2 linked regions of the Mus musculus genome follow. The protein of the gene in region 1 interacts with the protein of each later gene in a pairwise test. Links are inferred from orthologs where the notes say so. Each region holds a gene or a part of one and is shown in the gene's direction. Other genes may lie near its edges.

What was found.
Region 2: the proteins of Txlna (region 1) and Krt20 interact in binary tests that used the Homo sapiens proteins (3 or more experiments, as listed by UniProt). The two-hybrid records come from large-scale screens. The link is inferred for Mus musculus from reciprocal best matches to the Homo sapiens genes TXLNA and KRT20.

What each region holds. Positions count from the first base shown.
Region 1 is NC_000070.6:129,630,964-129,634,614, reverse strand, and holds part of Txlna (alpha-taxilin), read left to right. Parts: intron 1-69; coding exon 70-240; intron 241-1,792; exon of another isoform or gene 1,793-2,330; coding exon 2,331-2,525; exon of another isoform or gene 2,526-2,646; intron 2,647-2,904; coding exon 2,905-3,024; intron 3,025-3,260; coding exon 3,261-3,335; intron 3,336-3,651. UniProt on the Homo sapiens protein: May be involved in intracellular vesicle traffic and potentially in calcium-dependent exocytosis in neuroendocrine cells.
Region 2 is NC_000077.6:99,435,916-99,439,666, reverse strand, and holds the start of Krt20 (keratin, type I cytoskeletal 20), read left to right. Parts: upstream 1-1,513; 5' UTR 1,514-1,569; coding exon 1,570-1,980; intron 1,981-3,751. UniProt on the Homo sapiens protein: Plays a significant role in maintaining keratin filament organization in intestinal epithelia. When phosphorylated, plays a role in the secretion of mucin in the small intestine.

The sequences.
Region 1 (3,651 bases):
GTGGTTAGCTTAGGAATCTCTAGAGCTGTGTAACGGTGCCCTGCAGACACTTATGCCTCCTGTTCTCAGCTGGAAGAGCATCGGAACTCGCAGAAGCAGATGAAGCTCCTGCAGAAGAAGCAGAGCCAGCTCGTGCAGGAGAAGGACCATCTGCGAGGGGAACACAGCAAGGCTGTCCTGGCCCGAAGCAAGCTTGAGAGTCTGTGCCGGGAGCTGCAACGGCACAACCGGTCCCTGAAGGTAGGCCCATCAGTATCCATTGGGACTTGTGGGCAACTGCGGCTATGCTATACAGTGAGTTCTGGGCCAGCTTGGATTTCATAGGAAGATTTACTATAGAAGAAGAAGTAACAGCAGCAGCAGCTTAGGCTTAGCTCAGTCCCAGGTCCACCAAAGAACAGCTGTGCCTACCTTGCCTGGCGTGCAGGAAGCACCAGATGCGTCAGCCGGAGTCAGCTCCCTCTGCAAACACTCAGCTTCCTAAAACCACAGAGATTGTTTGTCCTGACACCCAGTGTAAAAGCTCTCATCCATGATAAGGGGAACCTGATGGCTTTTCAGATCTGCGCTGAGAGGGGCAGGAGCAGGGTGTGGCAGGAGGGTGTGGGACAGCAGAGCTGCTCAAGAGCACACTTCCCAGTCCTAAGCCGTTTCAGCAGACCTTGGGCACCACAGTAGGCTCCAGAGTCCCCTGCCAAGTAAACCTTTATGGGACCTCAGGATGCAAGGTGGGGAGATGGATCAACCAAGAGCGTGCTTCCCACTGCCAGCATAAGGCCTGGAGCCCGGCGGCAGAGCTGGCCTAAGTAGTGTACCTCGGTGAAGTATGGAGGACTAAGAGATGGCTGAGTAGTAACCTAGTAGTCTTCCAGAGGACCCGATTACTGTTCCTGCACCCACATTCGGCTGTCCGCAAGCCATTTGAGGAGATCTGATACTCTAATCTGACTTCTGGACACCTGCATACATGTGACATACATTCACAGAGACACATAAATATACAGAAATTTTTAAAAGCTTAAGCCAGGCGTGGTGGCGCACGCCTTTAGTCCCAGCACTTGGGAGGCAGAGGCAGGCAGATTTCTGAGTTCGAGGCCAGCCTGGTCTACAGAGTGAGTTCCAGGACAGCCAGGACTACACAGAGAAACCCTGTCTCGAAAAAAACAAAAACAAAAATAAAAACTAAATAAATAAAAAAGCTTAAAACAAAACCAACAAGAAGTGGGTGGGCAGATAGATAACCCAGTGGGTGACAGGCAGACAGATAACCCAGTGGTTAGGGCATGGGCCGCTTTTCTAGAGAAGCCGCTTCAGTGCCCACCTCTCACATGGCAGCTCACAACTGTCTAACTCCAGTGGCAGGAGGTCCATGACTCTCTTTAAAAAGTACAAACTTCTCGTGAATTCCAGGACAGCCAGGGCTACACAGAGAAACCCTGCCTCGAAAAACCAAAATAAATACATACATATATACATACTAAGGTAAAGAAAGCTTGGTGATGGCACTTGACCTCTGGCCTCTAGGTGCACACATGTGCAGTACTATTTATTTATTTATCTATATCTATTTATCTGTTTATTTATTTTGGTTTTTCGAGGCAGGGTTTCTCTGTGTAGCCCTGGCTGTCCTGGAACTCACTCTGTAGACCAGGCTGGCCTCGAACTCAGAAATCCGCCTGCCTCTGCCTCCCGAGTGCTGGGATTAAAGGCATGCGCCACCACGCCCAGCTATAATCTTTAAAAAACAAAAAAACAAAACAAAAAAAACTTAAAAACCAAAACTAGGTAAGAGTATGTGTGTCCATGTCCTTTACCAATTGTGTGCTGAGGAATTTTATCTACAGACTAAATTTCAGAAGTGAAATGGCTGGGTCAGTGGGCACAGCACTAAGTGGCTAATTGATAGAATCGTCTAGGCTGTCTTCATAAAAGTGGGAATGTTTAGGTGCCTCATTTCTTACAACTCTGCTAGTCCTGAATATGACTACATTTTGTTATATTGTTCTCTGTGGGGAACAGGAGGGACTAAAGGACATTAAAATGGACACAAATTGAAACAAGCAGAAATACTTAATCTAGAGTCTGGGAACAAGAATTCAGGCTGTCCAGCTGTTGCAGAATGGCACTTAGCATGGACCCTGAGTATTCTTGGGAGAGTCGCTTGATAACACCTGATTTACAGAGAGGCATGTTAGGAAACCCCATTGTATGACGTCCTACATCCTTGGTGCTCCCCAGGGCCCAAATCGCTGTTGGCAAAGACTGGACTTTGGAACTAGTTAGGGGAGCTTTGTGCAAGGCTGGCAACTATGGACAATTCTTTTCTTCAGGAAGAAGGCGTGCAGCGAGCCCGTGAGGAGGAGGAGAAGCGCAAAGAAGTGACTTCACACTTCCAGGTGACACTGAATGACATTCAGCTGCAGATGGAACAGCATAACGAGCGAAACTCCAAGCTGCGCCAGGAGAATATGGAGCTAGCCGAGAGGCTCAAGAAGTTGATCGAGCAATACGAGCTTCGTGAGGAGGTGAGCTGCAGGCGATTGAGGCCAGCAGCTTGGGAGTCTGTAGTGAGTGCCAGGGCCTGGGGCCGCAACTGCAGGCCTGGGCTTGCTCTTCCTTCAAGAGATGTATCCTGTAGATAAGGAGCTGAAATAAATGGAAAGAAGAGATTACACACACACACACACCAGTGCTTATCCCTGGTGTCTGAACCGGACATCTGTAGAGTATTCAGTGCTAGAGTGGAGGCGTGTCCTCGTCCCAGCTCCGCATCAGACCTGTACATCAGACCATGCCATTCCCAAGGACATGGGTCGGCAGGAGACCGGATGAAGTGCCTTGTTTCCTAGAGTTGGGGCTTTCTTGAAAGGGAACTCCTGACTCCATAAATTACCTTTTCTGCAGCATATCGACAAAGTCTTCAAACATAAGGACCTGCAGCAGCAGCTAGTGGACGCCAAGCTCCAGCAGGCCCAGGAGATGCTGAAGGAGGCAGAGGAGCGGCACCAGCGAGAGAAGGAGTTTGTGAGGCTCAGGCCCCAGGGCTGTGGTGGGGCTGGAAGGAAGTGGGCTGGGTTCTGGCTTAGTTCAATCTATTTCTTATGGATGGGAGAGATTTTGCCTGCCCAATCCAGTAATTGCCTGTCCAGACAGCAGTCTGAGAGCAGGTAGCCTCAGTGGGTCCAGTGCTTGTGGCTAAAGAAGGTCAGACATACCCTCAGGGGCTTCTGACAGGTTCTGGGGTCCTGTCTTGGAAATAGCTCCTGAAGGAAGCGGTGGAGTCCCAGAGGATGTGCGAGCTGATGAAGCAGCAGGAGACCCACCTAAAGCAGCAGGTGAGACGGGAACCTGACCTGCAGTTTCCAGGATGCTTTCACAAGGGCCCATCTGCAGGGCAGTGGAGACAGGACTGTCATAGCCTGGCTTTGTGCCAGCTGGCCTGTTGGTGTCGGCCAAGTCTTTTATTTATGTGTGTTTTGTTTCCCCAAAGACAAAGTTTCTCTGTGTAGCCCTGGCTGTCCTGAAACTTGCTTTGTACACCAGGCTGGCCTGGAACACAGAGATTTGCCTGTCTTAGCCTCCTAAGTAATGGGATTAAATGTAGGCATGTGCCATCATGCCAGGCATTTTTGTTGTTCTTTGAAGAACAGG
Region 2 (3,751 bases), on another chromosome or scaffold:
TAGAAGGAATGTTTCTACTCAAACAAATCAATAGACCGAGTGGCCGGGGCACAGAGTAATTGCCCTCTTATATCAGCAGCTTCTGGGAAGTTAGATGTGAGTCCTGTAGCCACCTGCAACCTTCTTTCCACTCTCGGGGAGCCACTTTGCTGTGAGCGTAGGAATCTACACAGTGAAACTGGGATCCATCAGGGGTCCTAAGAGGCAGCTCCTACAGCCAGCGTTAGGAAGATAGAAGCAAAAAGAATCCCCTGGTGGTGTCTAGCTGGCCTCAGACAGAGGAAGCAGTATGCAATATATGCAATATGCCAGTTATTAAAAGCAGGAGTTTCGCAGTAATTTAATGTTGCTGTTTCTTTTTTAAGAAGCACTAGATTTAAAAATATTTGCAAGATTCTTATAACAAGTTTGTTTTTGTTTTTGTTTTTTTTTTTAAATAAGGTCCCCTTGCTAACCTAGATGTTCCTGGCAGTTGCAGGCTGCTGGGAGCCAGGCAGAGGATCTATGACCTCTGACAGGCTGCTCACACACCCAGTCCAAGGCCGCACACCCACAAGCATACAGGCAGCACTAATTAGATCCAGTTGGTTATTTTTAAAAAGAAAAAGATAAAAAGAGGTATGAAGTTTGGGTGGGGTTGTGTTAGGCGCTTCGGAGGCAGCTGGAGAGGCGAGTGGGAGAGGAGTTTATCAAGATACGCTACATGTGCATGGATGAAATTATCCAAAAATGCTATTTAAAATATCTTTTTTTAAAAAACTCCAAAATCAACTGACCCACCGCCCACCGATAATCATTTACATATTCACCTACTGACCGTATTCAATTCTTAAACGGGGGTGGGGGGAGCTGCACTTTGAGACAGTGTCTTGTTACACAACACTGGGCTAGACTGGAACACCTTACTTCAACCAGGCTGGCCTCAAACTAGTCCTGATCCCCCCCACCTCTGACTCCCGGGTGCTAGAATCTCAGGTGCACACCCACACACCCAGCTTCACTCAAGACATTTCAATAGACTGTAAATATAAATTCTAAACAAGGATAAACTTAAAAGTAAAAAAAAAATTTAAAGAAGCATAAAACATTTTTTAAAAGAAAATCATTTGAACAAGCCATTGTCTTTTCTCACCAGTGTGACTTATATTATGTTCCCACAGCTGTCTTGTTCGATGCCTGAATTATTCATATAGATTGTAAATATTCTTTATTTGTATACAGGATGAAAAAAAAAAAACCTGCCAGGGCAGGTGCAAGACCTGAAAGGACACCCCTTCCTCGTCCTTTTTGTTATCTCTGTTTATTAAAAAGAAACCTCCACTCCCACCACCCCCACAGGAAAGCCTTTAAAAAGTGCCTCTGGTAGAAATTTCTGGAATGGAATGAAACGTATTGCCGTACAAAAGAGGGGGAAGGGGAGACAGGAAGGTGGACTGTGTCATTCCTGAGGTGACACGGCAGCAGAGGAGGAGTCTCTTGAACTCTATAAAAGGTCATCTCCACAGCAGCCCGAGACAGACAGGCTGTGCTCCAAGTCCAGGCTACAGGCGTTGCCTCCCTACATCCCAGATGGATTTCAGTCGTCAAAGTTTTCACCGAAGTCTGAGTTCCTCCTCACAAGGCCCAGCACTCAGCATGAGTGGCTCGCTGTATAGGAAGGGGACTGTGCAGCGTCTGGGGGCTGCACCCAGCGTCTATGGTGGGGCTGGAGGCCATGGCACTCGCATCTCTGTCTCCAAAGCCGTAATGAGCTACGGGGGTGATCTCTCCAACGGATCGGACCTGTTTGGGGGCAATGGGAAACTGGCAATGCAGAACCTGAACGACAGATTGGCAAACTACCTAGAAAAAGTGCGCTCCCTGGAGCAATCCAATTCCAGACTTGAAGCCCAGATCAAGCAGTGGTACGAAACCAACGCGCCGAGCACCATCCGAGACTATAGCTCCTACTACGCACAGATTAAAGAGCTGCAAAATCAGGTGAGCCATGAAGCCTGTAATTTCTACCTCACTGTTTAGTTGCCTAATGGATTGAGAGATGTATGCTAGGTGAATTCGAACACATGAAGCAGATTAGGTTGAAATGTATAATTGAAAAAAAAATGTATTTTATCATGTGGTATCTGTAAACAGGATGAGTCTAACTCACATTTTTTCTAAAACTTCAACTAATTATATATAAAATATGATCATTTTATCATCCAAAATTGCAGTTCAAATCTTTGTTATGGCTTACAATATAAGGTCTTCATTGTGGATAATCTTATTTTTCAAAGACCTCCAATGGTTTCTATATGTGAGTTTGCCAGTAGTCTTTACTAACTTTGAAGACTCAAGTTGATTTAAAGAGATTTTTCATCTTTCATTATATGAATGTTATAACAAATATATTAACCTACTATGGGTATAAATAACAAAAGGGTTCAGGGTGGATACAGATTACAGATATTAATGATATGTATACTGATTGATAAATAGTTGTGTGATAGGGGATGGATGGATGGATGGATGGATGGATGGATGGATGGATGAACTGCTCTTTGATACAAGATCTGTGTATCCCAGGCTAGTCTGGACCTCACCATCCTCCTGCCTCCACTGCCTCAGCACTGGGGTTAAAGAACTGTGCCACCATACACGGTTCTGATACCTGGATTTTTTAGTGTCTTATTTAATTATCTCCTCACTATCACCAAGCATTTTATAATGCACCTCTGTGATAATAAAATGTTCTATTGCCCCCAATTTAAGTTTATTACAGTCATATCACAATCTGTTCCTGTGTCATCCATGGTAGGTGGGGTTCCCCTTTCTATAAAGCCAATGGAATAAAAGTGGGAGACTTCGCTCCTGACTGAGGACCTCAAGCATCGGCACACACCATTTGCCCAGCCCCGGGGTTCTTATCTCATCAGGAAAAGCCTCCCCTTGGGTTTTGTTTAAATCTCGAAATGATTGCAAAGGCCTTTAGAGCAAAGACCTTTGTCTTAACCACAGGCCTCTTGTCTTGAGTTCTGTTTGAATTACAGGCATCAATGCAGCTTAATTCAGACTTCATAGCCCATGAAGCTGTGTGGTGCTTACATTGCCCTTCTCATCAACAGGACGGTCCTTCAGGCTTCTCGATACAACACAAAATTCAAATTAAGCACTTCTCTCATGGTTGACGCTTTTGAATTGACTTGGGGATTACCCATAGTACTTAGGCACAGCCATTAGTGACCAGTGGTTAGGGACCTCTCTCCAGGAATAGCCGCTGAAAGGGATATGTCTAAAATCTTCTAGAAGTAGACTTCTAATCTACTTCTTAATACGGTGTTTGCCTTGAAACATGAGAACCTGACTTCAGTCCCCAGGTTACAAAGCAAAGCTGTAGAATGACTGTGTGTGCTTGTACTCCCAGCATTGGGAAAACAAGCAGATTCCTGGGACTTGCTGGTCAGCCAGCCTGGCCAACTTGGTGAGTTCCAAGACAATGAGAGACCCTGCCATACACACACACACACACACACACACACACACACACACACACACACAAAGGTAGCACTTAAGGAATGGCATGTAAGATTGTCCTCTGACCTCCACATACATACACCTGTGCATATAAACATGTACACACAGAGAGAGATGCACACAGATCCAGGATGTATCCATCCTTCTGTCCTGCGCCTAACTCCTACAGATAGCAAGTGCTTTAAGTGGAAACAGGCACAGACCACAGAAACCATCACTCAGAGAGGTAGATGCAGGG